Xenopus tropicalis: one gene and its partners. The main gene of each other region encodes a partner of the protein of the gene in region 7 in a complex. Links are inferred from orthologs where the notes say so. Each region holds a gene or a part of one and is shown on either strand. Other genes may lie near its edges.

Evidence for each region.
Region 1: kat2a (region 7) and taf4 share a complex: the UniProt entries of both Homo sapiens proteins name them as parts of the TFTC-HAT complex. The link is inferred for Xenopus tropicalis from reciprocal best matches to the Homo sapiens genes KAT2A and TAF4.
Region 2: kat2a (region 7) and wdr5 share a complex: the UniProt entries of both Homo sapiens proteins name them as parts of the ADA2A-containing complex. The link is inferred for Xenopus tropicalis from reciprocal best matches to the Homo sapiens genes KAT2A and WDR5.
Region 3: kat2a (region 7) and sgf29 share a complex: the UniProt entries of both Homo sapiens proteins name them as parts of the ADA2A-containing complex. The link is inferred for Xenopus tropicalis from reciprocal best matches to the Homo sapiens genes KAT2A and SGF29.
Region 4: kat2a (region 7) and kat14 share a complex: the UniProt entries of both Homo sapiens proteins name them as parts of the ADA2A-containing complex. The link is inferred for Xenopus tropicalis from reciprocal best matches to the Homo sapiens genes KAT2A and KAT14.
Region 5: kat2a (region 7) and tada2a share a complex: the UniProt entries of both Homo sapiens proteins name them as parts of the ADA2A-containing complex. The link is inferred for Xenopus tropicalis from reciprocal best matches to the Homo sapiens genes KAT2A and TADA2A.
Region 6: kat2a (region 7) and supt7l share a complex: the UniProt entries of both Homo sapiens proteins name them as parts of the STAGA transcription coactivator-HAT complex. The link is inferred for Xenopus tropicalis from reciprocal best matches to the Homo sapiens genes KAT2A and SUPT7L.

What each region holds. Positions count from the first base shown.
Region 1 is NC_030686.2:4,389,758-4,394,215, forward strand, and holds the start of taf4 (transcription initiation factor TFIID subunit 4), read right to left. Parts: upstream 2,852-4,458; 5' UTR 2,838-2,851; coding exon 2,567-2,837; intron 768-2,566; coding exon 1-767. UniProt on the Homo sapiens protein: The TFIID basal transcription factor complex plays a major role in the initiation of RNA polymerase II (Pol II)-dependent transcription.
Region 2 is NC_030684.2:8,199,500-8,204,126, forward strand, and holds the start of wdr5 (WD repeat-containing protein 5), read right to left. Parts: upstream 2,866-4,627; 5' UTR 2,823-2,865; coding exon 2,742-2,822; intron 988-2,741; coding exon 879-987; intron 806-878; coding exon 732-805; intron 413-731; coding exon 323-412; intron 1-322.
Region 3 is NC_030685.2:2,319,566-2,323,620, reverse strand, and holds the start of sgf29 (SAGA-associated factor 29), read right to left. Parts: upstream 2,801-4,055; 5' UTR 2,782-2,800; coding exon 2,707-2,781; intron 2,415-2,706; coding exon 2,339-2,414; intron 2,254-2,338; coding exon 2,181-2,253; intron 2,088-2,180; coding exon 2,023-2,087; intron 1,937-2,022; coding exon 1,807-1,936; intron 1-1,806. UniProt on the Homo sapiens protein: Chromatin reader component of some histone acetyltransferase (HAT) SAGA-type complexes like the TFTC-HAT, ATAC or STAGA complexes.
Region 4 is NC_030681.2:38,333,719-38,338,303, reverse strand, and holds the start of kat14 (cysteine-rich protein 2-binding protein), read right to left. Parts: upstream 2,844-4,585; 5' UTR 2,787-2,843; intron 50-2,786; 5' UTR 1-49. UniProt on the Homo sapiens protein: Component of the ATAC complex, a complex with histone acetyltransferase activity on histones H3 and H4. May function as a scaffold for the ATAC complex to promote ATAC complex stability. Has also weak histone acetyltransferase activity toward histone H4.
Region 5 is NC_030678.2:76,068,488-76,072,913, reverse strand, and holds the start of tada2a (transcriptional adapter 2-alpha), read right to left. Parts: upstream 2,827-4,426; 5' UTR 2,816-2,826; coding exon 2,791-2,815; intron 1,294-2,790; coding exon 1,187-1,293; intron 1-1,186. UniProt on the Homo sapiens protein: Component of the ATAC complex, a complex with histone acetyltransferase activity on histones H3 and H4. Required for the function of some acidic activation domains, which activate transcription from a distant site. Binds double-stranded DNA.
Region 6 is NC_030681.2:5,368,196-5,372,025, reverse strand, and holds part of supt7l (STAGA complex 65 subunit gamma), read left to right. Parts: intron 1-654; coding exon 655-979; intron 980-2,266; coding exon 2,267-2,504; intron 2,505-3,830.
Region 7 is NC_030686.2:6,930,055-6,933,884, reverse strand, and holds part of kat2a (histone acetyltransferase KAT2A), read right to left. Parts: intron 3,786-3,830; coding exon 3,594-3,785; intron 3,182-3,593; coding exon 3,075-3,181; intron 1,954-3,074; coding exon 1,843-1,953; intron 1,411-1,842; coding exon 1,274-1,410; intron 371-1,273; coding exon 162-370; intron 1-161. UniProt on the Homo sapiens protein: Protein lysine acyltransferase that can act as a acetyltransferase, glutaryltransferase, succinyltransferase or malonyltransferase, depending on the context.

The DNA of each region.
Region 1 (4,458 bases), about 2.5 Mb from region 7:
CACGGCGCTGACTGTAGCTTTGCCCATTCCTGTAGGGGCACCGGGGGCAGACACAGCTCCTCCAGGACCAGGGTGCCCAGCTTGCATAGTCTGTCCTAACACCATATTGCCAGGGTTAGGCTGGCTCTGCTGAGGGGGCTGGATAATAGTTTTAGGGGATTCCGACTTGATCACCGGACTGGGCTGATTGTTCATTTGCAGCGAGACCCCGGCAGGGGCGGACAGAGGGGAATTGATCACAGTATTGCTCCCGTTCTGAGTGGCGGGCACGCCCTGGTGCAACAGAGGTCTCACCAATGCCACGCTGGTGGGTACGCCCGCCATGCCAGCTTGCTGCCCAGCTGCTCCCGCAGTGGATGTGGATGAGGAGGAGATGACTGAGGATGCCACGTTAGTAGTCCCAAGGAAAGAAGTCTGGATAACGGTGTTAGCTCCTGGGTTCACTCCACCCTTAGCGACAGGAGCCGGTCCGTTGTTTACCAGGCCGACAGCGGCATTGCTGTTCCCCTGGTAGGGGGTTCCGTGACCCCCAGGTCCGTGTGAATTAATCACAACATTACTCCCATTCATGGTCTGTAGGGTGGCATTTTTGCCATTACCTGAACTGTGGTTGGGCAGAGTGGAAGCCATGTTGCCCAGAACCCCAGATTTGGCCTGGCTAAGAGCTCCTGGTGCTTCGGGTATAGCAGACTGAGTCCCGTCAGGCTGTGCTGTGGTCTGTGGGCGGCTGTTAATGACACCTCCTTGTACTCCGGGTACAGCGGCTCCTGTGGGAGAAAAAGGACATTTTTTTTTAAACAGCAGGGAAAGAAACAGAGCTATGGGGTATACACCCGCCGGAATATACAGATAGCCACCCCTGTGCACCCACTCTGGTCCAGCACTTGGTTCCACCAGCAAACGCCCACTGGACCCCTCAGAAGCGGCATTAGGCAACCCCACAACCCAACATGCCACCCAGAAATCCAAACCATTCCAAGAGAACCCAATGATGCCCCCAGGAAGATTTACCCCCCCCCCCCCCCTTGTAAGTGAGCGGCATATAGACGGTGCCCTCAGTGCCAGCTCCCCAAGTACACGGGGAACATACCCCACATAAGGCAATTTCACCCACACCCCCCCAAATGACCATATAGTGCCTCTTGCCCCCCAAGTCCATTTATTAAGGCTCATTATAGCCCCCAGAAAATCCCAGGTATCTAAGTATCTACAACAAGGCCATCAGTAGCGCCAAAAGTTCATGTGGACCCCCAAATCTTCTCCTGGGGCACAAACTGCCCCCTAATGATCCACACAGCACTCATCTCCCCACAGTCACCCCCAAAACCCTAAAATGCCACAAATCTCTAGTCTGTTGCCACCAACAGCTCCATTAGTCCATGTGAGACTGGCCAGAAGGCTGCCCAGGGCCCAGTATACCCCCCAAATGCCCCCAGGCTGCCCGGTTACCCCAGGAAACTGCCGGGTACCCCAAATATCCAGTCGCCAGCCACCAACAGCTCTACGAGTCCATGTGAGACTGGCCAGAAGGCTGCCCAGGGCCCAGTATACCCCCAAATGCCCCCAGGCTGCCCGGTTACCCCAGGAAACTGCCGGGTACCCCAAATATCCAGTCGCCAGCCATCAGCAGCTCTATGAGTCCATGTGAGACTGGCCAGAAGGCTGCCCAGGGCCCAGTATACCCCCAAATGCCCCCAGGCTGCCCGGTTACCCCAGGAAACTGCTGGGTACCCCAAATATCCAGTCGCCAGCCATCAGCAGCTCTATGAGTCCATGTGAGACTGGCCAGAAGGCTGCCCAGGGCCCAGTATACCCCCCAAATGCCCCCAGGCTGCCCGGTTACCCCAGGAAACTGCTGGGTACCCCAAATATCCAGTCGCCAGCCATCAGCAGCTCTATGAGTCCATGTGAGACTGGCCAGAAGGCTGCCCAGGGCCCAGTATACCCCCAAATGCCCCCAGGCTGCCCGGTTACCCCAGGAAACTGCCGGATACCCCAAATATCCAGTCGCCAGCCATCAGCAGCTCCAGGAGTCCATGTGAGACTGGCCAGAAGGCTGCCCAGGGCCCAGTATACCCCCAAATGCCCCCAGGCTGCCCGGTTACCCCAGGAAACTGCTGGGTACCCCAAATATCCAGTCGCCAGCCATCAGCAGCTCTATGAGTCCATGTGAGACTGGCCAGAAGGCTGCCCAGGGCCCAGTATACCCCCCAAATGCCCCCAGGCTGCCCGGTTACCCCAGGAAACTGCCGGATACCCCAAATATCCAGTCGCCAGCCATCAGCAGCTCCAGGAGTCCATGTGTACCCCCAATTCTATTTCCTATGGGCCAATGTGCCCCCCCAAAGCCCTTGGCCCCCCTCCAAGTCACTCCACAGGCGCCAAGTAGTACAAGTATCCAGTTTTCCAAGAGCAGCAACTCCAGAAGTCCATGTGGGGCCCCCAGAGCGTTTCCCGGGGCCCATCACACCCAGCAGAGCCCCTGAAGGCCCCCAGTCAGCCCGCCGGCCGCCAAAACATTCCCGCGGCCCCCCTGCCCGCTCAGCTCGGCGCCCCCAGGCCTCACCCGTCTTAGGCACCTCCGGGGAGAGCCCTATCTTGGCTTCAGGCTGTCCCCCCGCACTGGCTGCCCCTACCCCCGGGCTGGTGACATGGTTAGCCAGGGCCTGGCTGCGGGCCTCGGCGGGGGGTTGCTGCTGGTGGTGGTGGTGATGATGGTGCTGGTGGGCCGCGGCGGCCAGCTGAGACTCCAGGGATCCCACCAGCTCGCTGACCACTTTATCGTCCACGTCCGTGTTGAAGAAAACCTCATCCAGTAGATCCGAACCCGCCGCCATCTTTACTCCGCCGCTCAACTCAGGAGGGCAGCAGCTCTGTGCGCCTGCGCGGCGGGGCAATTACGTCACACCGGAGCGGCGCTCCCATTGGCTGCTTCATGGCTACATAAGGAGCGGGCAAATGGCTGCGAGCGGTATTGGGAGGGCAGGAGGGGATCGAGCGGGGTCGGTGGAACGGGAGGGAGGCACAAAAATAGGGGGCGGTCGGGGAAGGGTCTGCGCGGGAAACCGGGTGGCGTGGCGACGCCTGAAGCGGAGAAAGTCGCCCCGCCACAGAAACGCGCGCTCTTTGTCTGCTCAATTCAAAATGGCTGCTGCGGGTGTCCCGCCGCCACTCCTGTCTGCCGCCCGCTGCGGGTTACCGGGAGGGAGGGGGCGTTCCTGTCACCGGGTGGGTGGGACACCTCATACAGGGCTCGGACAAACGCACTACTGCCGCTTGTGGGATCCGCTGTCTACCGACCGTGCCGCTTAGGCGGAGGGGCATGCTGGGAGTTGTAGTTTTACAACTAATGTGGTTCCCGTGACTATGGGCAGGGAGAAGCTTGTGTATCTGGGAAGGAGTGTAGGGGGGTGTAAATAAAGGGGTATGTGGGTGGATAAGAGGGGCATATGGGTAAATAAGTATATATATCCCTTGGGAACTGAATAGCTATCCCAGTAGAGTTGTTGGGGGTGTAATGGGGGTTATAGGGGGTGAATGATTACCCTAGGGCAGTGTTTGGAGGTATAAGAGCCAATAAGTACCCCAGTATAGTATCTGGGCAGGGGTATTGGGGTTATTATGGTGATGGGGGAGTTAAAGCCAAATAGAAATTCTACTAGATTATTTATTTATTTATAAGAAGTGGTGTAATGGGGACTAAGTACTCAATGGGCCTTGGGAAATGGACATGGCCGGGGGTTAATGTGACTGCCCCATTGTGGGGTAACAAACTGGGCAACTAGAGAGGGTATGGGGCTGTATAAGGGATAGATACAATCTACATGGGGTGATGATTTTCCCTGCACAGTGTTTAGAGGGTTAATCCCCAATAAATGATAGGTTAGTGGATCTACAAGTCATGACTGGAAACTGGATCCCCAAAGGATCACTGGAGGGGGGGGGGGGGGTGATCAGGGGCCCTGCAGGTTTTGTCCAATGAGAAGAATTCTGTCCCTTAAGGTTCTGGAATGGGTTCTGTTAGGGAGTAGGCTCTGATTCTGTATCCTCCCTCTATCGGATTTCTCCTCAATACTTTATAGAGTGCCTGTATGGTACCCAGCACTTTACAGAAGAGCTTGCAATCAAAGGGAAACCCCAAGCAGTATTGGGGTCCCATGTTATTTTATGTACCAAAGAGTAAGAATGTGCCACTGGCCTCCTGTTGTGAGGCAGCGCTAAAACACAAAACGTTAACCTATTATATAATGGAAGACTGCTCCTGCTCAGCCATTGGCTAGGTGGTGCCGGTGCACTGTCCCTTTAATTCCCATCTGGATATATTATTTATACAGCACCACGAGTGCACACTGTGCGGTACAAAGCATAAGCATAATTGGCTTCTGTCAATATGAAGCCGTAGGGCATTTTCCACTAAACAGCATTATGAGTTGCGGTGTAGGTTTTTACCTCATTGGG
Region 2 (4,627 bases), on a different chromosome or scaffold from region 7:
TGGGGTAAAGGGCTCCTCCTACCAGGAGGCAGGACACTGCAGTGATGTCATAACTGTTGCTCCTCCCTCTTTTCTTTAACCCTTTTGCTTAGCCAACAGGGCTCAGCTTTTTAAGTGGACAGGAGGTTAGGCCTAGCCTCTAGAGAGGCTCTGCCTACTACCAAGGCCACGTTTGCCCACTGGATTAACGAGGCAATTAGGCTGTTCCTGTGTCCCCCATGATGTAAGAGAAATAGGGAATGTATCCTGTGTTATCATTTTACCCCTCAATGAAGAAACACAAAAACATATTCTTCCCAACGGTAAGTCAATCAGGCCTCACCGAGCTCACGTCCCAGATTTTTAGAGTTTTATCGTCAGAAGCAGAAACCAGGAGGTTGGAGTCAGAGGACCAGGCGACATCAGATATTCCCTGAATATAAAAATAAAAAGAATAAATAAATAAAAGTTTCACTAATCGGATTTGATTAAGGGGGTTTATATTTCTTAACCAGTGCCAAATTAAAACACATGAAATCCCCAAGCCCGTCTATAAATTAGGGAGGCCCCTGGGGAGGTGTCTGGCAAATGCAAACTCTAATTGGCTTCTGCTGCACGGCGCTGGGGGGATAAGGTGCAAAACAGTATGGGTTTAATGTTACACGAAGCAGACGCTGGTGGAATTTAAATATATGGTGCTACAGGAATTCAACACCGGCTAGACGCGAGCAATAACAACAAAAGGTTCTTACCAACTTGTGGCCGGATATGGTTTTTTCAAACTTGCCGTCGTACGCCCCCCATATTTTGATTAACTTGTCGGCCGCTGAAAAGAACAAAAAAGTGACACTGTAGTTTCTTTAGGGCAAAGACATAACGATAGGTGGAATGTCACTTACATGAACTGGCGAGCCACTCCCCGTTCGGGCTGAATTTTACAGATGATACGGCCTTGGTGTGTCCGGCGAGGGTGAACTTTAGCGTGTAATTTGGCTTTACTGGTGCAGGCTATGAATAGAAGAGAAAAATGGGGATTTCAGAAATGTATTTTGCAGACATTGAGGCAGAGAGTTGGGGGAAACAATAGTTTTAAAATAAAAAACAGCCCCCTACAGTGACAGGGAGCCCCCAGGGCAGGCAGCCATGTTGTATGTAACCGCTGCACAAACCTGAAATTTGTCACATTCAGCACCCACCCCCTATATTTCATCTCTCTACAAACATCAGAGCCGCGTATTGGAAAGTACCCAAAAGTTGGTTGAGTCGAACGTATTCATGAGAAACCAGAAACAATTCAACTTAAATTCATAAAACTCCCAACCCTGGGTGAGGATCTACTGCCATATTTCAGTATATGAATGAGGAATGAATGGATATTGGGGAGTTGTATCAGGAGTCAGAACCAGCAGTGCAGAGAAGGGAAAGGGACAGACACAGTGACAGTTACACATAACTATAAACCCAGTGAGAATGAGGGATGAATGGATATTGGGGAGTTGTATCAGGAGTCAGAACCAGCAGTGCAGGGAAGGGAAAGGGACAGACACAGTGACAGTTACACATAACTATAAACCCCAGTGAGAATGAGGAATGAATGGATATTGGGGAGTTGTATCAGGAGTCAGAACCAGCAGTGCAGGGAAGGGAAAGGGACAGACACAGTGACAGTTACACATAACTATAAACCCAGTGAGAATGAGGGATGAATGGGTATTGGGGAGTTGTATCAGGAGTCAGAACCAGCAGTGCAGGGAAGGGAAAGGGACAGACACAGTGACAGTTACACATAACTATAAACCCAGTGAGAATGAGGAATGAATGGATATTGGGGAGTTGTATCAGGAGTCAGAACCAGCAGTGCAGAGAAGGGAAAGGGACAGACACAGTGACAGTTACACATAACTATTAAACCCAGTGAGAATGAGGGATGAATGGATATTGGGGAGTTGTATCAGGAGTCAGAACCAGCAGTGCAGAGAAGGGAAAGGGACAGACACAGTGACAGTTACACATAACTATAAACCCAGTGAGAATGAGGGATGAATGGATATTGGGGAGTTGTATCAGGAGTCAGAACCAGCAGTGCAGGGAAGGGAAAGGGACAGACACAGTGACAGTTACACATAACTATAAACCCAGTGAGAATGAGGAATGAATGGATATTGGGGAGTTGTATCAGGAGTCAGAACCAGCAGTGCAGGGAAGGGAAAGGGACAGACACAGTGACAGTTACACATAACTATAAACCCAGTGAGAATGAGGAATGAATGGGTATTGGGGAGTTGTATCAGGAGTCAGAACCAGCAGTGCAGGGAAGGGAAAGGGACAGACACAGTGACAGTTACACATAACTATAAACCCAGTGAGAATGGGGAATGAATGGATATTGGGAAGTTGCTTGAAAATACATTTTCTTTAGTCAATATTTTATCTTGGGTTGACATCCCCTTTAACTTTTAGTATGTTACAGAATGGCCAATTCTTGGGACCTCTTACTAAAAGTTAATTTTCTAAGATGTATATTTAAGTAGGAAAAGAATATGTAACCCTTTGGATCCTATAACCCTACTACACTACCCACCTATAAGAGGCCCTTTATATTAAGGGTATATTTAAAAAGCCAGAGGCGGATATATTTCCCCTTTAACATTACCCTTTATAAGCAGGATTAATGATCCATAACTGCTGGATTTCACACAAAAGTAACACCCAAAGCCTTACTGGAAGCATCTTGGCCGCTCCACATGTAGAAGAATACCAACCTTGCTCTGATTATTGGACGAGGATGGGGTGGATTGCGTCTTGGAAGCTTCAGTTTCGGGTTTCTTTTCTTCTGTTGCCATGGTGCAAGAACTGGAATGGGGCCCCTTGAGTTAGCAGATGGCCACTCCCACTATGCAGGCTAGGTGTTTGTAAACAAAGAAAAGGACATAATTAGCAATATTTATTACTTATTTACTACTATTTGTACCAGAAGCCTTTCCAGAATAATGTATTTATATGTGGTATGGGGTTCTCCTATTGTGCACGTGTGAGCATTGTGTAACAGTACAGGCAGTAGTGGGGCTGTAGATTTTTTGGGGAAACATTGTGGCCAATAGGGAGACCTTTCTGAGGGGGCGTGGCTGTTTGGGATATAATGGTATGGGGGGCTATTGGTGTGGCTGTGGGGTTAAAAAAAGAGGATATATAAAGGTATGGGGGCTATTGGTCTGGCTGTGGGGGTATAAAAGAGTATCTATATTGGTATGGGGGCTATCCGTGGGGGTATGAGGGAGGATATATCATGGTATGGGGGCTATTGGGGTAGCTGGGGGTATGAGAGAGAATATAAAGGAAAGGTATGGGGGCTATTGGGGTAGCTGAGGGTATGAGAGAGGATGTAAAGGAAAGGTATGGGGGGTATTGGGGTAGCTGTGGGTGTATGAGAGAGCATATATAAAGGTATGGGGGGGTATGGGGGTAACTGGGGGTATGAGAGAGGATATAAAGGAAAGGTATTGGGGCTATTGGGGTAGCTGAGGGTATGAGAGATGATATAAAGGAAAGGTATGGGGGGTATTGGGGTAGCTGAGGGTATGAGAGAGGATATAAAGGAAAGGTATTGGGGCTATTGGGGTAGCTGTGGGTGTATGAGAGAGGAGATATAAAGGTTATGGGGGCTATTGGGGTATCTGTGGGAGTATGAGAGAGGCTATATAAAGGTATGGGGGCTATTGGGGTATCTGTGGGGGTATGAGAGAGGCTATATAAAGGTATGGCGGCTATTGGGGTATCTGTAGGGGTATGAGAGAGGAGATATAAAGGTATGGGGGCTATTGGGGTAGCTGGGGGGTATGAGAGGGGATGTAAAGGAAAGGTATGGGGGCTATTGGGGTAGCTGTGGGTGTATGAGAGAGATATAAAGGTATGGGGGCTATTGGGGTAGCTGAGGATATGAGAGAGGATATATAAAGGTATGGGGGTAACTGGGGTGTTTGAGAAAGGATATAAAGGAAGGTATGGGGGCTATTGGGGTAGCTGGGGGCATGAGAGAGGATATATAGGAAAGGTATGGGGGCTATTGGGGTAGCTGGGGGCATGAGAGAGGCTATATAAAGGTAAGGGGGGTACTGGGGTATCTGTGGGGGTATGAGAGAGAGATATAAAGGTATGGGGGGGTATTGGGGTATCTGTGGGGGTATGAGAGAGGAGATATAAAGGTATGGGGGGGTATTGGGGTATCTGTGGGGGGTATGAGAGAGGAGATATAAAGGTATGGGGGGGTATTGGGGTATCTGTGGGGGTATGAGAGAGGAGCTATATGGAATGGGGGGGTATCTGTGGGGGTATGAGAGAGGAGCTATATGGAATGGGGGGGTATCTGTGGGGGTATGAGAGAGGAGCTATATGGAATGGGGGGGTATCTGTGGGGGTATGAGAGAGGAGATATATGGAATGGGGGGGTATCTGTGGGGGTATGAGAGAGGAGATATATGGAATGGGGGGGTATCTGTGGGGGTATGAGAGAGGAGATATAAAGGTATGGGGGGTATTGGGGTATCTGTGGGGGTATGAGAGAGGAGATATAAAGGTATGGGGGTATCTGTGGGGGTATGAGAGAGGAGATATAAAGGTATGGGGGTATTGGGGTATCTGTGGGGGTATT
Region 3 (4,055 bases), on a different chromosome or scaffold from region 7:
CACTCAGGCTACGGGTCCCTCACTCAGGCTACGGGGGCACTCACTCAGGCTACGGGGGCACTCACTCAGGCTACGGGGGCACTCACTCAGGCTACGGGGGCACTCAGGCTACGGGTCCCTCCCTCAGGCTACGGGGGCACTCAGGCTACGGGTCCCCCCCTCAGGCTACGGGGGCACTGGGGGCACTCAGGCTACGGGTCCCTCCCTCAGGCTACGGAGGCACTCAGGCTACGGGTCCCTCCCTCAGGCTACGGAGGCACTCAGGCTACGGGTCCCTCCCTCAGGCTACGGGGGCACTCAGGCTACGGGGGCACTCAGGCTACGGGTCCCTCCCTCAGGCTAAGGGGGCACTCCGGGTACAGATCCCTCCCTCAGGCTACGGGGGCACTCAGGCTACGGGTCCCTCCCTCAGGCTACGGGGGCACTCAGGCTACGGGCCCTCCCTCAGGCTACGGGGGCACTCGGGCTACAGGGGTACTGGGGGCACTCCGGGTACAGATCCCTCCCGCAGGCTACGGGGGCACTCAGGCTACGGGTCCCTCCCTCAGGCTACGGGGGCACTGGGGGCACTCAGGCTACGGGTCCCTCCCTCAGGCTACGGGGGCACTCGGGCTACGGGTCCCTCCCTCAGGCTACGGGGGCACTCGGGCTACGGGTCCCTCCCTCAGGCTACGGGGGCACTCGGGCTACGGGTCCCTCCCTCAGGCTACGGGGGCACTCGGGCTACGGGTCCCTCCCTCAGGCTACGGGGGCACTCACTCAGGCTACGGGTCCCTCCCTCAGGCTACGGGGGCACTCAGGCTACGGGTCCCTCCCTCAGGCTACGGGTCCCTCCCTCAGGCTACGGGGGCACTGGGGCACTCAGGCTACGGGTCCCTCACTCAGGCTACGGGTCCCTCACTCAGGCTACGGGTCCCTCACTCAGGCTACGGGTCCCTCACTCAGGCTACGGGTCCCTCACTCAGGCTACGGGGGCACTCAGGCTACGGGTCCCTCCCTCAGGCTACGGGGGCACTGGGGGCACTCAGGCTACGGGGGCACTCAGGCTACGGGGGCACTCAGGCTACGGGGGCACTCAGGCTACGGGGGCACTCAGGCTACGGGGGCACTCAGGCTACTGGTCACTCCCTCAGGCTACGGGTCCCTCCCTCAGGCTAAGGGTCCCTCCCTCAGGCTAAGGGTCCCTCCCTCAGGCTAAGGGTCCCTCCCTCAGGCTAAGGGGGCACTCAGGCTACGGGTCCCCCCCTCAGGCTACGGGGGCACTGGGGGCACTCAGGCTACGGGTCCCTCCCTCAGGCTACGGAGGCACTCAGGCTACGGGTCCCTCCCTCAGGCTACGGGGGCACTCAGGCTACGGGGGCACTCAGGCTACGGGTCCCTCCCTCAGGCTAAGGGGGCACTCCGGGTACAGATCCCTCCCTCAGGCTACGGGGGCACTCAGGCTACGGGTCCCTCCCTCAGGCTACGGGGGCACTCAGGCTACGGGCCCTCCCTCAGGCTACGGGGGCACTCGGGCTACAGGGGTACTGGGGGCACTCCGGGTACAGATCCCTCCCGCAGGCTACGGGGGCACTCAGGCTACGGGTCCCTCCCTCAGGCTACGGGGGCACTGGGGCACTCAGGCTACGGGGGCACTCAGGCTATGGGGGCACTCAGGCTACGGGGGCACTCAGGCTACGGGTCCCTCCCTCAGGCTACGGGGGCACTCGGGCTACGGGTCCCTCCCTCAGGCTACGGGGGCACTCGGGCTACGGGTCCCTCCCTCAGGCTACGGGGGCACTGGGGGCAGGCTCTGGGGGCACTCACTTTTCCCCGGGTTTCCCGATCCAGAGAGGCAGAGTCATGGCCGACTGCTGCAGCAGAGTCATTAGGACGCCCCGTCTCATGGTTTTGCGGGGGGGCTCCGAGTCGTGGTAGAGGCCGGCTATCTTGGCAGCTGGAGAGGCAGAGGGCACAGGGATTTACACTCTGAGGGGCAGAAGTTGCGCCCGGGGAATACCCAGACGAGGGCAATAAACTCACCGATGCGCCGTTCCTCCAGCAGGGACTTGATCTCTGCGATTTTATCCAGGGACCGGCGCAGGATGCTGGGGGGGGGGGCACAAACAGAAATGGGGGTATTAGGGCTGGAGGCCCTGGGGCAGAACGTGGGCACACAGGGGCATTAGGGCCACACTCACTTGCACTCTGCCTCTGCGTCGGCCTTGGCTGTGGTGTAGAGACCTCGGAGTTTGGTTCGGTAATAGGGGGAGACTGGGGGGGGAGAGAGAAGGAGTTGTTGTTACTGGCCCCGGGCACCGGCGGCGCCACTCGCACACTAAGTACTAACCATACTCACTCTTGTTCTCAGTCTGCATCCGCTCGTGCGTCTTCTGTATGTTCACCAGGTTGTGCTCACTCCTCGAGCGTTCCTCCTGCGGGGGGGGAACAGGGGGCCCATCACTAACCCATTTACACCGGGGGGGGGCAGAATAAACCACCCTGCAGGGGGCCCCATCACTAACTCACTTACACTGGGGGGGCAGAATAAACCACCCTGCAGGGGGCCCCATCACTAACTCCCACTGGGGGGCCCCATCACTAACTCACACTGGGGGGGCCCCATCACTAACTCCCACTGGGGGGCCCCATCACTAACTCACACTGGGGGGGCCCCATCACTAACTCCCACTGGGGGGGCCGGGGCTGCTGCAGCACATCGCTCACCTGGGTCTGTTTGATGAGTTGGTGCAACTCACTGAGCAGCTCAGAGATTCTCGTATCCGCCGACACCAGCGCCATCTCCGCCTCTTTCTCTGTCCTTGGGGAGCAAGAAAGGAACATCATGGCCCGCTCTAATGCCCCATAATGCCCCGCTCTAATGCCCCATCATGCCCCGCTGTAATACCCCATCATGCCCCGCTGTAATGCCCCATTATAAGGCAGGTTCAGTACCCTGTGCCCTACACAAGGCTGAGGGGGAGGGGCCCTGGGAGCTGTTACCCTTTAACTATTATCAGCAGCTCTCCTGTCTGACTGAATTGGCCCTAACTGCCGGCCAGCGGCAACCCCCAGTAACGGGCCAGCGGCAACCCCCAGTAACGGGCCAGCGGCAACCCCCAGTAACGGGCCAGCGGCAACCCCCAGTAACGGGCCAGCGGCAACCCCCAGTAACGGGCCAGCGGCAACCCCCAGTAACGGGCCAGCGGCAACCCCCAGTAACGGGCCAGCGGCAACCCCCAGTAACGGGCCAGCGGCAACCCCCAGTAACGGGCCAGCGGCAACCCCCAGTAACGGGCCAGCGGCAACCCCCAGTAACGGGCCAGCGGCAACCCCCAGAACCGGATAAAGGGCCAGCGGGAACCCCCAGAACCGGATAAAGGGCCAGCAGGAACCCCCAGAACCGGATAAAGGGCCAGCGGGAACCCCCAGAACCGGATAAAGGGCCAGCGGGAACCCCCGGAACCAGATAAAGGGCCAGCAGGAACCCCCAGAACCGGATAAAGGGCCAGCGGCAACCCCCAGAACCGGATAAAGGGCCAGCGGGAACCCCCGGAACCAGATAAAGGGCCAGCAGGAACCCCCAGAACCGGATAAAGGGCCAGCGGCAACCCCCAGAACCGGATAAAGGGCCAGCGGGAACCCCCGGAACCAGATAAAGGGCCAGCAGGAACCCCCAGAACCAGATAAAGGGCCAGCAGGAACCCCCAGAACCGGATAAAGGGCCAGCGGGAACCCCCAGAACCGGATAAAGGGCCAGCGGGAACCCCCAGAACCAGATAAAGGGCCAGCGGGAACCCCCGGAACCAGATAAAGGGCCAGCGGGAACCCCTGCCACCACTGGAAGTAGTAGTGTGACACCAGCAAATTTATTGTAATAGCACTGGGAATAGGGGGATAAAAGGGAGAGGCAGGGCTGCTGGGAGTTGTAGTTTAGGGCTAATAAGGCAGAGGCAGGGCTGCTGGGAGTGGGAAAGGTGTTAAGGAATCACTACAACTCCCACAATCCTCTGTCCCCCCGCCCCTCTCTCTCTCCACCTAGTACCGAACTACAGCTCCCACAATCCTCTGTAGTT
Region 4 (4,585 bases), on a different chromosome or scaffold from region 7:
GCTTCCGACTCTGCCTTTGCAAGTCTTGAATTACTCCGTCACGCAGTCTCTGCAACCCAACAACAGACTTATTAACATCTACCCTTCAGCAGCTTCCATTCCATACAAAGAGTCATGAGTCACAACAGTGTAATTGTACCAGTTTATGAAATGTCATACTGGTAACATTCTATACCAATATTGTATAGCACAGGCGTGTATGCTGTCCAACATTTTCATATCAGGGTGCCCTTAAAAGAAAACTATTTTAATCTCTGTAATCTGTCCCTTCAAAAGTATGAATAAATACCTTCTCCACAGCATACAGACAGCATGCAGGTAGTACATAATCCACAATGCACTGCACTGTGATGTTCCTTTTATCATTGACATTATGTGTGCAGGGGATTGTGGGATTTGGAGGATGCAGGCTAAAGGCAGGCAGAGGACATTAGACTACTGTTACATTTTTTTTTTTTTTTGAGTTTTAAAGTAGTCAGCCAGATCAGCAGGAGAACAGGCTAAGGTAACTGTTCCAATCCATATTATCACATTAAAAATCATGAAAAGGCTGCATATTTTTAACTGATGTAATATTGCAACATTGCTTGAAATTATGTTTTCATTTTTTAAAAACTTTTAGTTGTGTTTGGTTGCAGTTTCCCTTTAGTTAACAAGGGTACAGATATATAAAAACATTGCTATGGCAGTCACCCAGCTAAAGCTCTAGGGGTCTTACGAACAGCAAGTAACCAGTGGTGTTATAGCTCAACCTATTCACCCTCACACCCATTGGGTACAAAAAAAGATTATTATTATTTCATTAGTGCTAGGGCCTCTCTCTTTTGGACTACAGTTCAACAGCTGGTGGACCATAGACTGGAACTATTAAAAGAAACCATTTCAAGAAGCTTTGCAATATACATTTATTACAAATTTATAATGGCTTGGAAGTTATCTGTATAAATAACTGCTATTAAAAGCAGTGTCTGTCCTTTTTCTATTCTCTGTCCTGGTGGCTCGGACTGTAACACAAACCAGCAGATTAACAGACCTGGGTTGTATCCTTATTGCTAAAAGTTATTTTTAAGGGACGACATAGTGTGATTGGTTGAAAAATAAATGTCACAATGTGAGCTGACACTCCAATGTGTCACAGTTCTCCAACTTTGAGGCTGGGCCCCTATGGGGACTTGGAGTGGGTGGCAACTAAGTATGTAGGTTAGTGAGGATATTAGGGAAAATCAAATGAAAGCCCAGCTTGAAGGTCAACTAGGGTGCAATTTGTGGTGGATATGTTTTGCTTCCTTGAATGATATAGCAATACATCTATACCCATTTCATTAGTTAAGGGGGCCCTGAACAAAGGTTAAATCTTTAACTGCAAATATTTGACAACCAATGCTCTATACTTTGGTCCATAAGAGACAAGTTATGTTTTCAGTTTGCAACTAAGAAAATAAATTCAAGTTTTGTTTAATATAAAAACTGCATATTTATAAACTCATCAATTAAATGGCATGAAGCAGGCAGTCTAATGAAGTAGAGTTTAAGTACAGTAACAGCCCAAGTATTAAGCACTGTGCAAAAGAAACTTTAATGTCGTGTTTGAGGTGTGAGCTGCGCAATCAAACCTGCAGCACTGGGAGGAGGAACACTGAGAAGGTACTGCAGGAACATGCCTGGCAACAAAATACATTTTATAAAAGGTTCCACACAGGCCTGCATGCCCAGGACCCTGCCATCATTGTTTGCCTGGAATAGTTTAATGGACATGTAAACCCCACACACAAAAAATTAAGCAGTGAAGCCTCTTTGAAATCTTTCAAAACCTGCCACTCTGGTTGTCCAGAGGTTAATAGTAAGGCTGCAACATCTCCTTAATCACTTAGATTTCCTTCTCCTCCTGTAACCCAATTGGGAATTTGCTTTGATTCCTGGCTTGCCAAACATGCTCAGTTGTTCTAAACTCAGATTACTAAACACACCCTCCAGTCCAGCAGCCAGTGAAGAGATGGCATTGCTGGTTCCCATAGAAACTCAGCTCTAGCTGTCTGCTTCAATTTTTTTCTCCTAACCTCCTCTCCTGAGCTCAGCTCAAACGAAGCAAAACTTTTATTAAAGACAGTTGAGCCTGTTTGAGCCTGTATTCTTGATGAAATGTATGCTGAATAAGGGTCTGTGTGTGTGTATGCTGTTTGCAGATAAATGTAACTGATTATGTATCAGAGGAAAAATGGCCACTGGGTGAAAGCTGCTATTTGCTTTAGGAAAATGTGATGTTGCTGGCAAGCGGAGGGGGGGATATATGCAGTACAAATGATGCCATCTGGGTGGAGGAGATGTGCCCAACTGATATACATTGTAGGCAAATGTAGGCTTTACATGTCCTTTAAATGTACGTATTTGAGCCTTTATCTGTACAGTATTGCACTTCAGATACTTCAGAGCCCTGAACTGCAATGTATGAATGGGGCTAAAATATCATCTTTATTGAGGGATAAATTCCATCTCTGAGCTGGGTTGTTCCTCATGTAGTGAGGGCAAGTAAAGTTGTTACTGTACTGAAATCAGAAATAATGCACCCCCATTCAGCCCCAGTGCAATAAGCATACAGCCTTACTGTACACCATAAGGAGTGGGAACATTTCAAATATAGTGGGTTCAATGTATTTACTTTGCTAGGATAACACTGATTGCCATGACCTTCATTTAGCATAATGGGCAAGGAGCAGACAGAGCATAAGTGCTAGCTCAGCTCCAGTTCAGGGCACATGCGGCGAAAGTAGCACATCCCTGCTACTAACCTCTCTGTCCAGTCTCTGCTTCACATGCACGCCAACCACCGTACCCACAGACAGCACCACAGAGATACCCAGCACCACCTTCGATATGGTAGACATGCCTGCAATAACGCAGGACCGGATGGGGCGGGGCGATTGTGGAACGCAAGAAGTTGCTGCGCAGCTGCAAACCGGAAGCTGGGAAAGAGAAGCTGCAGAATCCATTTTGGGAAAGGGGAGACGTTTATGATAAATATGTGGGTTACCGGCGGGAAATATATGGTTTATATTAGTTTGCATGTAAAGCGTATGACAGCTGTGCAATTACGTTTCGTTATCCGCTTTTACTAATATGTTACTTTGAAGGAGCATTTTGTCTGGTGTGGGATTAGATGAACGGGTGTATAAATCCTGCTTGATAGTATATGCGAGAGGCTGCACATATGTGACTGGTACTAAGCTTGCTTATTTCGTAATAAAGAGAAACTCACGATCAATAAAACGTGTGGTTATTTAGATTCCTGTGATTGGGTATCAGGAGTTTGCTAGTTATGCTGCTGGGGCAATTTGCAGGGCATGGAAGTAGCCATTGGGGCAGAGCTAATGTCCCGCTTGCAGCACATGGAAGCCACATATCTGGGTTTAGTAAAGGGGAAGGGGTTTGCACCTGGCAGGTAAATATTACAGTTTTATGCCAATGTTACTAACAGGGAAGAAAGAATATCTTTTCTAAAAAAGATGGCATTCCCAGGAAGGAGCCATATCAGTGGTAATTAGAAGTTAATGGGTCCCACACAGTATTTTCCCTTGATCTTCATATTTTAATAATGTTCATCATTCAATACATTTTATTTGGCCTTTTTAAATTTCTGATTTTGATATTAGAAAATGCCCCAATTTATGCCCAGGTATGTAACAGCTCATTAAATGGAATCCCGCAAATTGGGTTGTTGCAAATTTCACATATAGGCACAATACCACCTGCAGATAGATTTGTAGTATGATTAAGTAAACACTGAGAACCCATGTAAAAGAAATAAACACATGATTTAAAAAGTTTTATTGTATGTGTTGTATTGGTGCCAGGCAGCTGCCAATTATTATAACCTATCCCCCTACTACAATATGGGCTCGTACAGACAGAGGTTTTGCCCTGCGTTCCCAAGATGGCGTTCTTTTGTGTTCCACCGCCGGGCGAAACACAGCCTTTACTTCCCTGTCTTGCTGTACTCACATAGACATGTAAGCACCTAACGCAGGTAAAACACAGCATGTTGCGTTCCACCTGTGTTCAGCACTTATAAGTAGGAATGCACCGAACCCACCCTGACGGATTCTGCCAAAATCCCGAACCGAATCCAAATCCTAATTAGCATATGCTAACTAGGATTGGGAAAAAAAATTTTCCCCAGGCCATTTAACCCTTTCCAAATTCTACTTAGCATATGCAAATGTATGCTAATTAGGACTCGGTTCAGCCGGGACCGTGGATTCGTCCGAAACCGAATCCTTCAAAAAAAGCCTGGATTCGGCCCATCCCTACATATGAGCCTATGATTAAGTACCATAGGGTACGAAATGCGTAAGGCTAATTGCTATATGTGTTAGTACAATAAATCTTTTGTGATTTTACTTTAATGAATGACTGTTATTCAACTACCTCAACACCGGAGTGCCTGCCTTTTTTCCATAGCTGTGACCTACTTATGAGAGCCTGTGTGAGTACAGCGGGACAGGGAAGAATGGTCTGAGTCTATTACTGTGTTCCCCTGCAGTGGAAGCAGGTACAGACACTTGAGTTTAAGCCCTATCTCTGACCTTTT
Region 5 (4,426 bases), on a different chromosome or scaffold from region 7:
AGTGATGTGGTAATGGCAGATTCTGTTAATGCCTTTAAGAGGGGCCTGGATGAGTTCTTGATCAATCAGAATATCCAAGGCTATTGTGATACTAATATCTACAGTTAGTACTAGTGGTTGTATATATAGTGTATGTATGTGAGTGTATAGATTGGTAGGTGTGGGTTAGGTGTGCTGGGTTTACTTGGATGGGTTGAACTTGATGGACACTGGTCTTTTTTCAACCCTATGTAACTATGTAACTATAACTAACTATGAAAAGGAAAGTAAAAATCACTGGGGGTGGGGGTACCAAGTTTTTAGGCACATCCTAGTGATTCTAATCGGTTGCCTGGTAACCTGGGCCAGCTCACCTCTTCTTAAATAAAGAACAAAAATTGAGAAAATAAAGGACATGGCTCTCAGTATACAGTATCCCAGACTAGCGCATTTTATTTTTTTAGAGAAAATGGAAACCATCCCAGGGTTCACAGGAAAGCCACTAATGGCTGACGAAAAACCTAACAACTTGGCACCCCCACCAGAGCTTTTACCTTTCCTTCTCCTTTAAGTTTGCATTCCAGCAAAACTAATTGTGATATCTTGTTCTACAAAACATTCAGCCAGGAGCTGCAAATGCTTTCAGTTATGACAATGTTTTTAATGCTAAATGTATTATATAAATCACAGGCTTACCACAGTCAACATTCAGTGGACAATGAAAGCCAAACTCACTGGGAGTTATTGCTACCATTATTTCTATTGACTATATAAGCATTATATTCTGCATTGCTGTACAATAAATTGATGTATAAAATTGACCATACAGATTACATGTAAAAATACAACCGAAAACAGATACAAGATGTAGAGAGGGAACTGCTAAATAGAGCTACAATCTAAAAAGGGTTGCCCATTTTTCTATGGGTAACACTGAAATTCTTTTCTGAAAAATATTGTCTTAAATTATTCCTCTAAGTTCTTTGAGCAGGGAGACATAGGTGAGGCCATGACAAAAAGGTGAATAAACACTGTCTAAAAAGCAGCTATGTTCCCAAATGTATTTAAGGAAAAACAACATTAAAGAAATATGGTCTGGCACATTTCATATTATGCACAATTGACTGGCTAGATATTTTTCTGCTTCATGGCCTTTCAATAATCCCAAAGACAGCATTACCTAAAGACTATGCATATGCGCAATTACCTGTAAACACAGAAGAAATTCAGGAGGTCCACATTCAGCACATTTAATGTATGGTTCCATGAGATATGATGAACACCCTTTGCAGGGTGGTTTGTCAAAGGGATCACCTAGAACAACATTCAGATTACTCTTTGGGTATCACAGAAAAAGCAAATTGAATATATATTATTACATAATACAAATATCTAGATAAAAATGTAAACCCCATGTACAAACAATTCACCCTTAAAAGGGTAAGGTACTTCTTACTGCTTGCTGAAAAGACAGCACAGTCCTGCTCTGGAAAAATCAACCCTAATAAAGTTTTTCAATTAAACTGGAAGATCTGAAATCATATTTATTTTAAGGGTTATGAAATACTTGCAGGTGTGGGGTGACCTGAAGCGCTGCCACTGATCAAGATGGTAGGTTGTGGGGAAAAAGTCTAGTGCATCACTGCCCTTATAGTTTAAAGCAGGGGTGGGCAAACTACGGCCCGCGGGCCACGTCCGGCCCCTTGGCCTTTTTAATCCGGCCCGCCGACGACGCCAAGTCTCATCACGCGAGACTTGGTGTCATTGGCGGGCCGGAATTAAACAGACTAAGGGGGCGTAAAGCTGGCCTGGGGGTAAGTAAATGTGGCCCGTGAGCCAAAAAGTTTGCCCACCCCTGGTTTAAAGTGATACTGACATGAAAAAATATGAATCTACATAAAAAGTTATTTATGTTGATCATTTTTGCCGATAGGTTTGCTTTTAGAAGTAATTGTTACTTAAAGTTCCTAAACCTGACTGTCCCTTCTAAGCCTGTCAGTTATAGCTTCTAATGCTAAGCTGCTGCACAAATATGGCAGCCTCCTCACAGGCGAACATGGGGGATCAGATAGGTAATGTAAAAGCATTGGACAAATACTTATGGCAAAATGATAAAAGATTATGCAAAGGGTTTCATTTCTGGTGTCAGTATCTCTTTAATGGTGTGTTTACTTTGCCTCAGTCACAGCTTTTCTTCTCCACTCTCTGAATTAGACAAAGTTCTTGTGGAGTCACATGAGCACCAGGAAATACACAGCAATAATGCACACGTTTTTCAGTAGAAAATAACATTACCCACAACTACGCTTCTTCAAGTACTACACAGTTAAACCTTTATTTTGTCCTTTTAAATTATTTTCAATACAGTATATAATAAATTTGTGGGCAAAGTGACATTTTTCCTCCAAATATACTATGCAAACATTATCCTTTTAAAGGTAACATCATATATTAATACATTTACTTCATACAGTAAATAGCTGATACCTGAGCATTATTGTACAACGCAGTTCTAAATACAGAGGTGCAGCAGTGACTCCCCTCTATCGACCACTGGATTTACTGTATTATCACTGCCGATATTGTGCAAGGCCCACTCTGTGGTACCATAGGGAGCAACTGATGCATACCGGCTTCCATCCATCCCTTCCCCTTTTTCTTGATACACAGCGCTTACTGTACACACTATCTCTGATGGTACCCAGCATACACGACTGTTGCACTGAAATTTGCAATTTGTTTTGTACAGTCCGCGTAAAACTGCATAGTGCACACCGCCACCCTCCATCCCTAGTGTGCCCGTACACTCACTCCCATATGGTGCTAGCCGGTCCATTGCTTTCCTTTCTTTCCACGCTGGTAGATGTTAGAATGGAGGCGGCTCTGATGTCACAGACACGTGAGCAAGACGTGGGCGGGAACTTATGACGATATACAGGGAGAGCATTCCTATCCCCTCTGCCTTCTGATTGGCTGTGCGGCCTGGCCCTGTGAGTGACGTGCTGTTCACTAGTTCTCTGTCGCCTGAATGGAACTGCTCGCTCCCTCTCCCAGCTGGATAGTAGAAAAGTAATGGGCTTTTTTCATCTTTGTTCTGCAGTCCCAATTCAGCCTTGCGCCTTGTACTAGGGAAAGTGCTCTTTCCCCAGCAGCTGTCAGTGTGCGCTGTGAGTTTGGGTCTGGATGACTGCTGTGCAGGGCAAAGACGACAAAATGCATACATTCTCTGCTGTCCAACAGTGGCCCTGTTGTCATGTGGCATGAATCTGCACACACACCTGCGCATCCGTGGTCCTAAGTCAAAGTAAACAACCTGTGTCATAAAGCCTAAATTTCAGTGCTGCTTTATCATTTAACTTCCTAGCCATCCACAGAAAACCCCTTTGCAATAAATGTCCATTCATATAAAGCCACACCATTCATAGCTGTTAGATTATGTTCAAATACTTAATGCATCTGTGCCTGATCTCAAGTTCCTTAATTAAATTCACACTTTCATTTCCTTGAATGTCTGACATTTACAAAAAAAATTCCAAGTCTGGGCCAGTAAAAGTCACAGCAATTATGACTTTTTCAAACTGTCACTGCGAAAACTCGCAATTTTCGAATTGTCACATCAAAACCTTGGATTGTTGCACAAAAAACAGCGTAAAATTTTTTAAACCTCTAAAGTTTTGAGACAAAGGAAGGATCTTCAAGAAAAAGGACCTCTGCCATGGATTTCTACATTATATTTCTCGATGGGTACGCACTCCAGACACGGGTGTAGGTGGTTAAGAAATTATTTTATTTACAATAATCCTGACACGCTTCGTGTCTTTCAACACGTAGTCATAGGTATGCTGGGTCTCTCTTTCATACGGGTCTGGGGCGCTGCGCCCAGACCACCGGATCAGTGGGGTGAGTGTCCATGAAAAAACTGTGATTCACTTGATATTTTAATGAAGAAATAGTTGTAAAAAAAATTATTTTCCCTGAGTGAAGGGTCCAGGGCAAGGCCAACTCTGTGAAGGGGTGAGCGAATGCAAATTGAGACTGGCTGTTCTAAATTTTAAATTAGGCTTAATGTGCTGGGTGGCTTAGAGCAAGTCTTGGTATTATTGTATTCTACATGATATTGGCAAGTTATAGCTTTGAATTGTTGGATTCGGATTTTTAGCCATTTTGACGCATAGTAAATCTCGAAAAAATTGTGACTTTTTTTTCTGCGATTCTTAGCACTAAAAAACCAAGAAGAAAAAAAAATAACTTGGTTAGTAAATGGGCCCCTAAGTCTCTAGTAGTCATTCTGATAAAAGGTTAAACCAGGTTACAAAAAATCCTTGATAAACACACTTTATAACTATCCTAAAATTAATCCTGGGAATGACCCTGCTAATTTCAGATGGTGGGGCACTAAATTAAAAAGGTAGGCAATCAAATATGGAAGAGAGTTAGCTAGAGTAAT
Region 6 (3,830 bases), on a different chromosome or scaffold from region 7:
CCTCGCAGTGGGAGGTACCTGAACCTTCTAATGGCAGCTTTTTAAGTGGAGGAGCAGGGAGTTTGTGATTCAAGAAGTGGGGGGGGGGGGACTAGAACATTGATATCATCTTACAGGGGATGGGGCAATGAGTCTGTAACTCAAGCAGTGGGTGGGACTCAGATACTCTGATGGCAGTTCACAGGGGGGTGAGGCATGGAGTCAGTGACTCAAGCAGTGGGTGGGACTAGAACACTCTTATGGAAGTTTACAGGGGGCGAGGCATGGAGTCGGTGATTTCAACAGTGGGTGGGACTAGAACACTAATGGAAATTTACTGGGACTATGGCAGGGAGTCAGTGACTCAAACATTGAGTGGACTAGAACACTCAAATGGAAACATAATGGGAGTGTGGCAGGGAGTCAGTGACTCAAGCAGTGGGTGGGACTAGAACACTGATGGGAATTTACTGGGAATGTGGCAGGGAGTCAGTGACTCCAGCAGTGGGTGGGACTAGAACACTCTGAATGAAGCTTATGGGGGGAGTGGAAGGAACTTATTAAGCTGTATCTACCAGAACACACTGATGGCAGCTTACATGGCAGTCGGGTGAAGAGATGACATTTTATGTAACAAGACTGGAGACTGATATTTTTATATTTTTCATTCCTCAGAGGGAAAGGGGAACCTGTCACAGAGCTCGGTTACCATTCCTGCCGGCAGCTCATGTACCAGTCCGTAGCCACCATACTGGCCCACGCCGGCTTCGAGTCCGCGAATGAAAGTGTTCTGGAAACCCTGACCGACATTGCCCACGAGTACTGCCTGAAATTTACCAAGATGCTGCGATTCAACGTGGACCGAGAAGCGAGACTGGGGCAGACGCCGTTCCAAGATGCCGTGGAGCAAGTCTTCCATGAAATGGGCATCGGGAGTGTCCTGTCTCTACAGAAGTTTTGGCAGCAGCGTATTAAGGATTATCACACATACATGTTGCAGGTAACCCATACTCATATATGTATAAGACGACTGGGCATATAAGACGACCCCCAACTTTTCCAGTTAAAATATAGAGTTTGGAATATACTACCACCCTGTGGCTTGCAGAACCGAACCCTCCGCTCCCCCCCAGCATCCTCCTGCTTTCCCCAGGGCACCCCCAGCATCCTACTGCTTCCCCCAGGGCACCCCCAGCATCCTCCTGCTTCCCCCAGGGCACCCCCAGCATCCTCCTGCTTCCCCCAGGGCACCCCCAGCATCCTCCTGCTTCCCCCAGGGCACCCCCAGCATCCTCCTGCTTCCCCCAGGGCACCCCCAGCATCCTCCTGCTTCCCCCAGGGCACCCCCAGCATCCTACTGCTTCCCCCAGGGCACCCCCAGCATCCTCCTGCTTCCCCCAGGGCACCCCCAGCATCCTCCGGCTCCCCCCAGGCCCCTCTCAAGCATCCTTCTGCCCCCCCAGCATCATCCAGCTTCCCCCAGGGCACCCCCCAAGGCATCCTCCAGCTTCCCCCAGGGCCCCCCCAAAGCATCCTCCAGCTTCCCCCAGGGCCCCCCCAAAGCATCCTCCAGCTTCCCCCAGGGCCCCCCCAAAGCATCCTTCAGCTTCCCCCAGGGCCCCCCAAAGCATCCTTCAGCTTCCCCCAGGGCCCCCCCAAAGCATCCTTCAGCTTCCCCCAGGGCCCCCCAAAGCATCCTTCAGCTTCCCCCAGGGCCCCCCCAAAGCATCCTTCAGCTTCCCCCAGGGCCCCCAAGCATCTTTCAGTTCCCAGCTGCCTCCTGCCGCTCCGGTGGTGTCCCCCGCTATGTGCCGCAGCTCCCCGCTACTTCTGCGCTTTTATAACGTTGCACCCCGTGCGTGTGACGTCAGTACGCACGGGCCGCAACCTTATAAAAGTGCAGAAGTAGCGGGGAGCTGCGGCACATAGTGGGGGACACCACCGGAGCGGCAGGAGGAGTGGCTACGCGGCACATAGCGGAGGACACCACCGGAGCCGGAGGAAGCAGGGCCCGGGAAGATGGTCCCCCCCCCATGCCCCCCTGATGGCAGCCCTGCCAGGAAGCAAGGTGCAGGTAAGTACCCGGCGTATAAGACGAACCCCGACTTTGGCACAGATTTTTCGGGGTTAAAAAGTCGTCTTATACGCCGGAAAATACGGTATACAGTTTGGTCATTTCCCTATGGGACCAAACTGTAAATTATGATGTCATTTCTGTCACATGACTCGCTGAAACTTGTATATTATAATAAATAAATACACCCCCATTGTGTATTTGGCGCTACAGGTCAGCAAGCAGCTCTCGGAGGAGTATGAGAACATCGTGCACCCCGAAAGGGCCTCTGAAGACACCAAACCGGTGAAGATCAAAGAGGAGCCCCTCACCGACATAACCTTCCCCATCAACGAGGAGCTGGAGGGGGACCTAGCGCCCGGGGACCAGTCATTGCCTGTCGGAGTCCTAGGCGCTCAGAGCGAGAGGTTCTCTGCTAACATCGAAGTCGATTCGTCGCCTCAGCCCTCTGGTAAGGAAGTGGTTAAATCTGCTGCAATAAAGCGGTGATTTATTTCAGAAAATCAAGGCGTTTAGGGACGTTTTCTCCGTAGGACCAGAGTCACGCTGGCAGCTTTGGTTTCAAGCTAAACTCCAGTAAAGAATAATCTACCCCTCCATGTATTTTGTGCTGCCATCGGGGGGGGGCAATTGCTCTGGACTCATTTGTCAGTGAAGTTCAAAGGGGTTCACCTTTATAGTTAACTTTTAGTATGTCATAGAAAGGCCAATACTAAGCAACTTTTCAATTGGTCTTCATTATTTGTTTTTCATAGTTTTTGAATTATTCCGCTTCTCCTTCAAACTCTTTGCAGCTTTCAAATGGGGGTCACTGACCCCGGCAGCCAAACCCTATTGCTCTGTGAGGCTCCAGTTTTATTGTTACGGTTACTTTTTATTACTATTACTTTTTATACTATTTACTTTATATTACTATTACTTTATATTTTTCTATTCAGCCCCTCTCCTATTCATATATCAGGCTTTCATTCAAACCACACCCTTGTTGCTACAGTAATTTGGATCCTAGGAACCAAACAGCTGCTGAAACACCAAGCTGGGGAGCTGCCGGACAAAAACTGAAATAATTAAAAAACTACAAATAATAAAAAATGGAGACCAATTGCAAATTTGCAAAAACTCAAAGGTGAACAACCCCTTCAAGTCCCAGTAAAGCTGCGTAGGGATTGGATGGGCTAGAGTGGAAGTTCAAACTCCACCCATCCAGTCTCTGTGCTGCTGTACCGGGACTTAAACTTGACTGACAAACGAGCAGTACCAAAAGACACCATGCCACAATGTTTGCCCTTAGAGCGATTAGCTCTTTGCTTCACTTGTCATTGTATAAAGGTTGCACAAATAACCCCATATACAGTGGTGTGAAAAACTATTTGCCCCCTTCCTGATTTCTTATTCTTTTGCATGTTTGTCACACTTAAATGTTTCTGCTCATCAAAAACCGTCAAAGATAACATAATTGAACACAAAATGCAGTTTTTAAATGAAGGTTTACATTATTAAGGGAGAAAAAAAACTCCAAATCTACATGGCCCTGTGTGAAAAAGTGATTGCCCCCCTTGTTAAAAAATAACTAAACTGTGGTTTATCACACCTGAGTTCAATTTGTGTAGTCACCCCCAGGCCTGATTACTGCCACACCTGTTTCAATCAAGAAATCACTTAAATAGGAGCTACCTGACACAGAGAAGTAGCCCAAAAGCACCTCAAAAGCTAGACATCATGCCAAGATCAAAAGAAATTGAGGAACAAATGAGAACAAAAGTAACTGAGATCTATC
Region 7 (3,830 bases):
GAAAGATGTAGAAATAAAAAGGCAGATAATTAAAAAAATAATGAAGACCAATTGCAAAGTTGCTCAGAATAGGACATGATAACATAATAAAAGCTAATGTAAAGGTGAACCACCCTTTTAAGGAGTAACCAAAGTATTTAGTGAAATTCTTATTCACTCACGGGTCAAAGACAAGCCGGGTTATGTACTCCTTTGGCATCCGTGGAAGCTGATGAGAGAACACATTTTGCAGACCCACAAGCCACATAAGGATCTTTTTGTTTGACTTTTGAGACAGAGAGTTTCCGATTACATGAAACTCTATTATCCCTCTTCTTTCTTCCAAGCGAGCAGTCTCATCTCGTGCTGCGTTGGCTGAAAGCAAGCTCGTCTGTGCACACAGAAGTACAAAAAGAATTAAGAATATTTACGCGATGAAACAGACATAACTGATAGGCAATGGCGAGATTAAAGATGAATTATTTAGATATCTATGGTAGACAAGAGGGGACAATCAACAACTGTGTAAGTTTCTTATGTGGTTGAGATGACAATAAAACCTGAACCTGAATATTACCCTCATTAAGCCTGGGAATACTCTGTTACAGAACCATGGTATGTCTCTTTAAAGGAACAGTTCAGTGTAAAAATGAACCTGGGTAAAATAGACAGTCTGCGCAAAATAAAAAATATTTCTAACATAGTTAGGTAAAAATGTAATCTATAAAGGCTGGAGTTGGCAGATGTCTAGCATAATAGCCAGAATACTACTTCCTGCTTTACAACTCTCTAATCTCTTAGTTAGCCAGTGACTTTAGGGGGAGCCACATGGCACATAACTGTTCAGTTAGTTTGTGAGCACGCAGGCCAGATACAAATGTAATCTGACAGTTATGTCCCATATGGCCCCTCCCTCTAAAGTCACTGATTGGTTACGGACTGCTAACAGCTTAGAGAGCTGAAAGCAGGAAGCAGTGTTCTGGCTATTATGTTAGACCTCTGCCCACTCCAGCCTTTATAGATTACATTTTTGCCTAATCAATGATATTGAAAACATTTTCTTATTTTGCTCAGTCTGTCTATTTTACCCAGTTCCATTTTTACACAGAACTATTCCTTTACAGGGCACCTATCACCCCCATGTTGGTTTTCCCCCACCTGAGGTTCAGGCTAATAGAGCCCGCACTCCAGATGGGGGAAACAATAGTTTTTCTTGAAACAAATAGCCTGCACAGTGGAGAAACAAGCACTAACTTGCACAGTAGAGAAAGAGCAATGGTTAGCATTTGCTTACATCAGGGCCCAGCATGGCTGCAGGATCTGTTATGGTGAGCATGACCTCATTGACAAGCTCCATGGGTATGTCTCCCATCACTCGTATTCTTTTGGCATCCTCTAAGGTCAGGCTGTCAGATAATTTCCTTTTCTCACCTGCACAGAAGAATTGATGTCCATCAATAAATGGAACCTTCCGGGACAAGGAGGACCAATGGGCATTCTCCCAAGTGTTTAACTTATATGGCCTTGAGGTTGCGCCCCCAGTCACTGCTCTGGGGTTCCATTGTGGTTCCAAACCCACAGTGTTACAACCAATGGCACCAAGGGCAAGAGGGGTGGATGTAAAGCTGAGAAACAACCATCTAATACATTACTTTGTAGCACTGACACAAAATAACCAAAACAATATTTATTACATTTATATTAAGTAACTAACAAAAGGTTTAATCATTTAGATTTAATATGCTATTTGCTGCGCAGTGTATCAATACATATAAACTAAATGAACACTGGTTCAGTGTGACTTGCACTTATACATGTGCCTTCTTCAAATCTTTGTGTTGGTGTGCTTGGAGCAACACATACCTGGCATTGGTTCTGAACTGCTAGTGTCCCCACTGGACGAGAGAGAAGAACTGTTGTTTAGATTGTTGTTGAAGAGAGGAGTAGAGGGGACTGAAGTAGTGTTGACAGCAGCTAAAGGGCAAAATGAAGAAAAAATCAGGATGAGGGCACAGGCAAAACTCTTATAGGTCATAGGCAAAAAGCAACCAAGCAAAAATGCTTACATTCTGCTAAAACTTTAAATCTAAAGCAGAGGGGGTTTTTTTAGGGCTTAGCCCCTTTTTGCAATTCTACATTTGCTCAGGATTTCCATCAACATATAGAATATGAATCCTGCTAAACAGAAAGATGCACTCTGCCTAATAAGTAGGGATGCACCGAACCCATTATTTTCAGATTCGCCCCAACCCTGAATCCTTTTTAAATGATTCGGCCAACATAATCCTAATTTGCGCATGTAAAATAGGATACGGAAGGGTTTAAGAAAAATTTCCAAATTCCGTGTTTATGTGAAAAAAGGCAAACGATTTGAAGGATTTTGATTCGCTTCGGCCACGAGCATGAATTCGGCTGAATCAGAATCCTGCTGAAAAAGGCCAAACCGAATCCTGGCTTCTGTGCATTTATACTAACAAGCCTGTCTCTCCGATAAGTGTAATAACTGTTTTCGTTTAAAACAATGTCTGTCATAGGATTCAGTGTTGAGGCTGGCCCGATAAAATGACATGAAATTTGGTCACACACAGGCAGCTCAATCCCAAAAAACACCAAAAAGGATCAAGAAAGGATCAAGTTGAGCATATTGTAGAATGGCTAGATTGATTGAGGACCTTCAATTGATCACACTGGGCACAGATTTCCTATTATGGTCAGAGAAGACACTGACTTCTTGGAAACCAGAATGCATGACATCCTTAATTTCAGAGACTAATGCAAAGATTAAACAATATTGGGATCATGTACAATGTAAAAAAAATGGCACTCAGCTTGGCCATGTCTAGCAAGCCACAGAAACCATTTAGATGTTTGATTTCAAGCAGCTAATCAGTACATGTTACCTGCTGAATGGCTGCTGTAGGTGACCACACCTGTATCAAACGTTGGAACTTTTATTCTATTAACTCCTGAAAGTTTTATTATAGAATTAAAATTTGACCATTACCCTGTGAGTTAGAAAATTGATTTTAGGTTAGCTGAAGAAATGGACAATTATCTATCAAGCCTTATATCAATACAAGACAAAGAGATTGTACCTGGACGAGACACTAGTTGGGCACCTTCTGTGGTTGGAACAGTAAAATCTGCCTCCCAGATGGGTGAGTTTTCACCATAGATTTCTTCTTCCAGCATGGAGAGGAACCTAGTTAATAAATAGATGGCAGTTTTAATTATACCAAAAACATCCATAAATGTTAAAAAAAAACCTTTACAGAGGCAGGTCAGTCAATTACTTTCACTTTCCCTTCAGCACTTCCTAGATGTATTTATGTATCCTGTACATGGGCACCAGGTGCCAGATTGTTGAGGCTAAACAAGATTTTGGGATAATGCAAAGCTTGCCTTAACAACAATGCTTACAAAATGGCAGCTGCCTGCTTGCTGTGAATGTGTACTCGTAAGACTGAGGGAAACAAGATTTATATAATTTATGTAGTGTAGGTAAAGTTTATTTTGCTCAACTAACATAATAAAGAGGGATTTGGAAATATTTCTAAAGGTGACAGGTCCCCATTAAGAATCAACACTTATCGGAGATAATGGCTCACACTCACTTTGGGAAGTGTGTAAGGATAAGAGTCCGCTTCTCGGGAACAAGCTTGTCCTTCTCCACCCTGAACTTCTCCAGCAGTTGTCTCCGGGTAACAGTGAAGATGGAACGGAGCAGACTCCTCCCAAACACATGTGTAGTTTCATAGCGTGGCAGGCTGTCACAGCTCTGTGGTACGTGGCAGTAACAGAGCCACCTGCAAAAGAACATGGGTCAGAACCAGTCCCCATACATCTTGCAG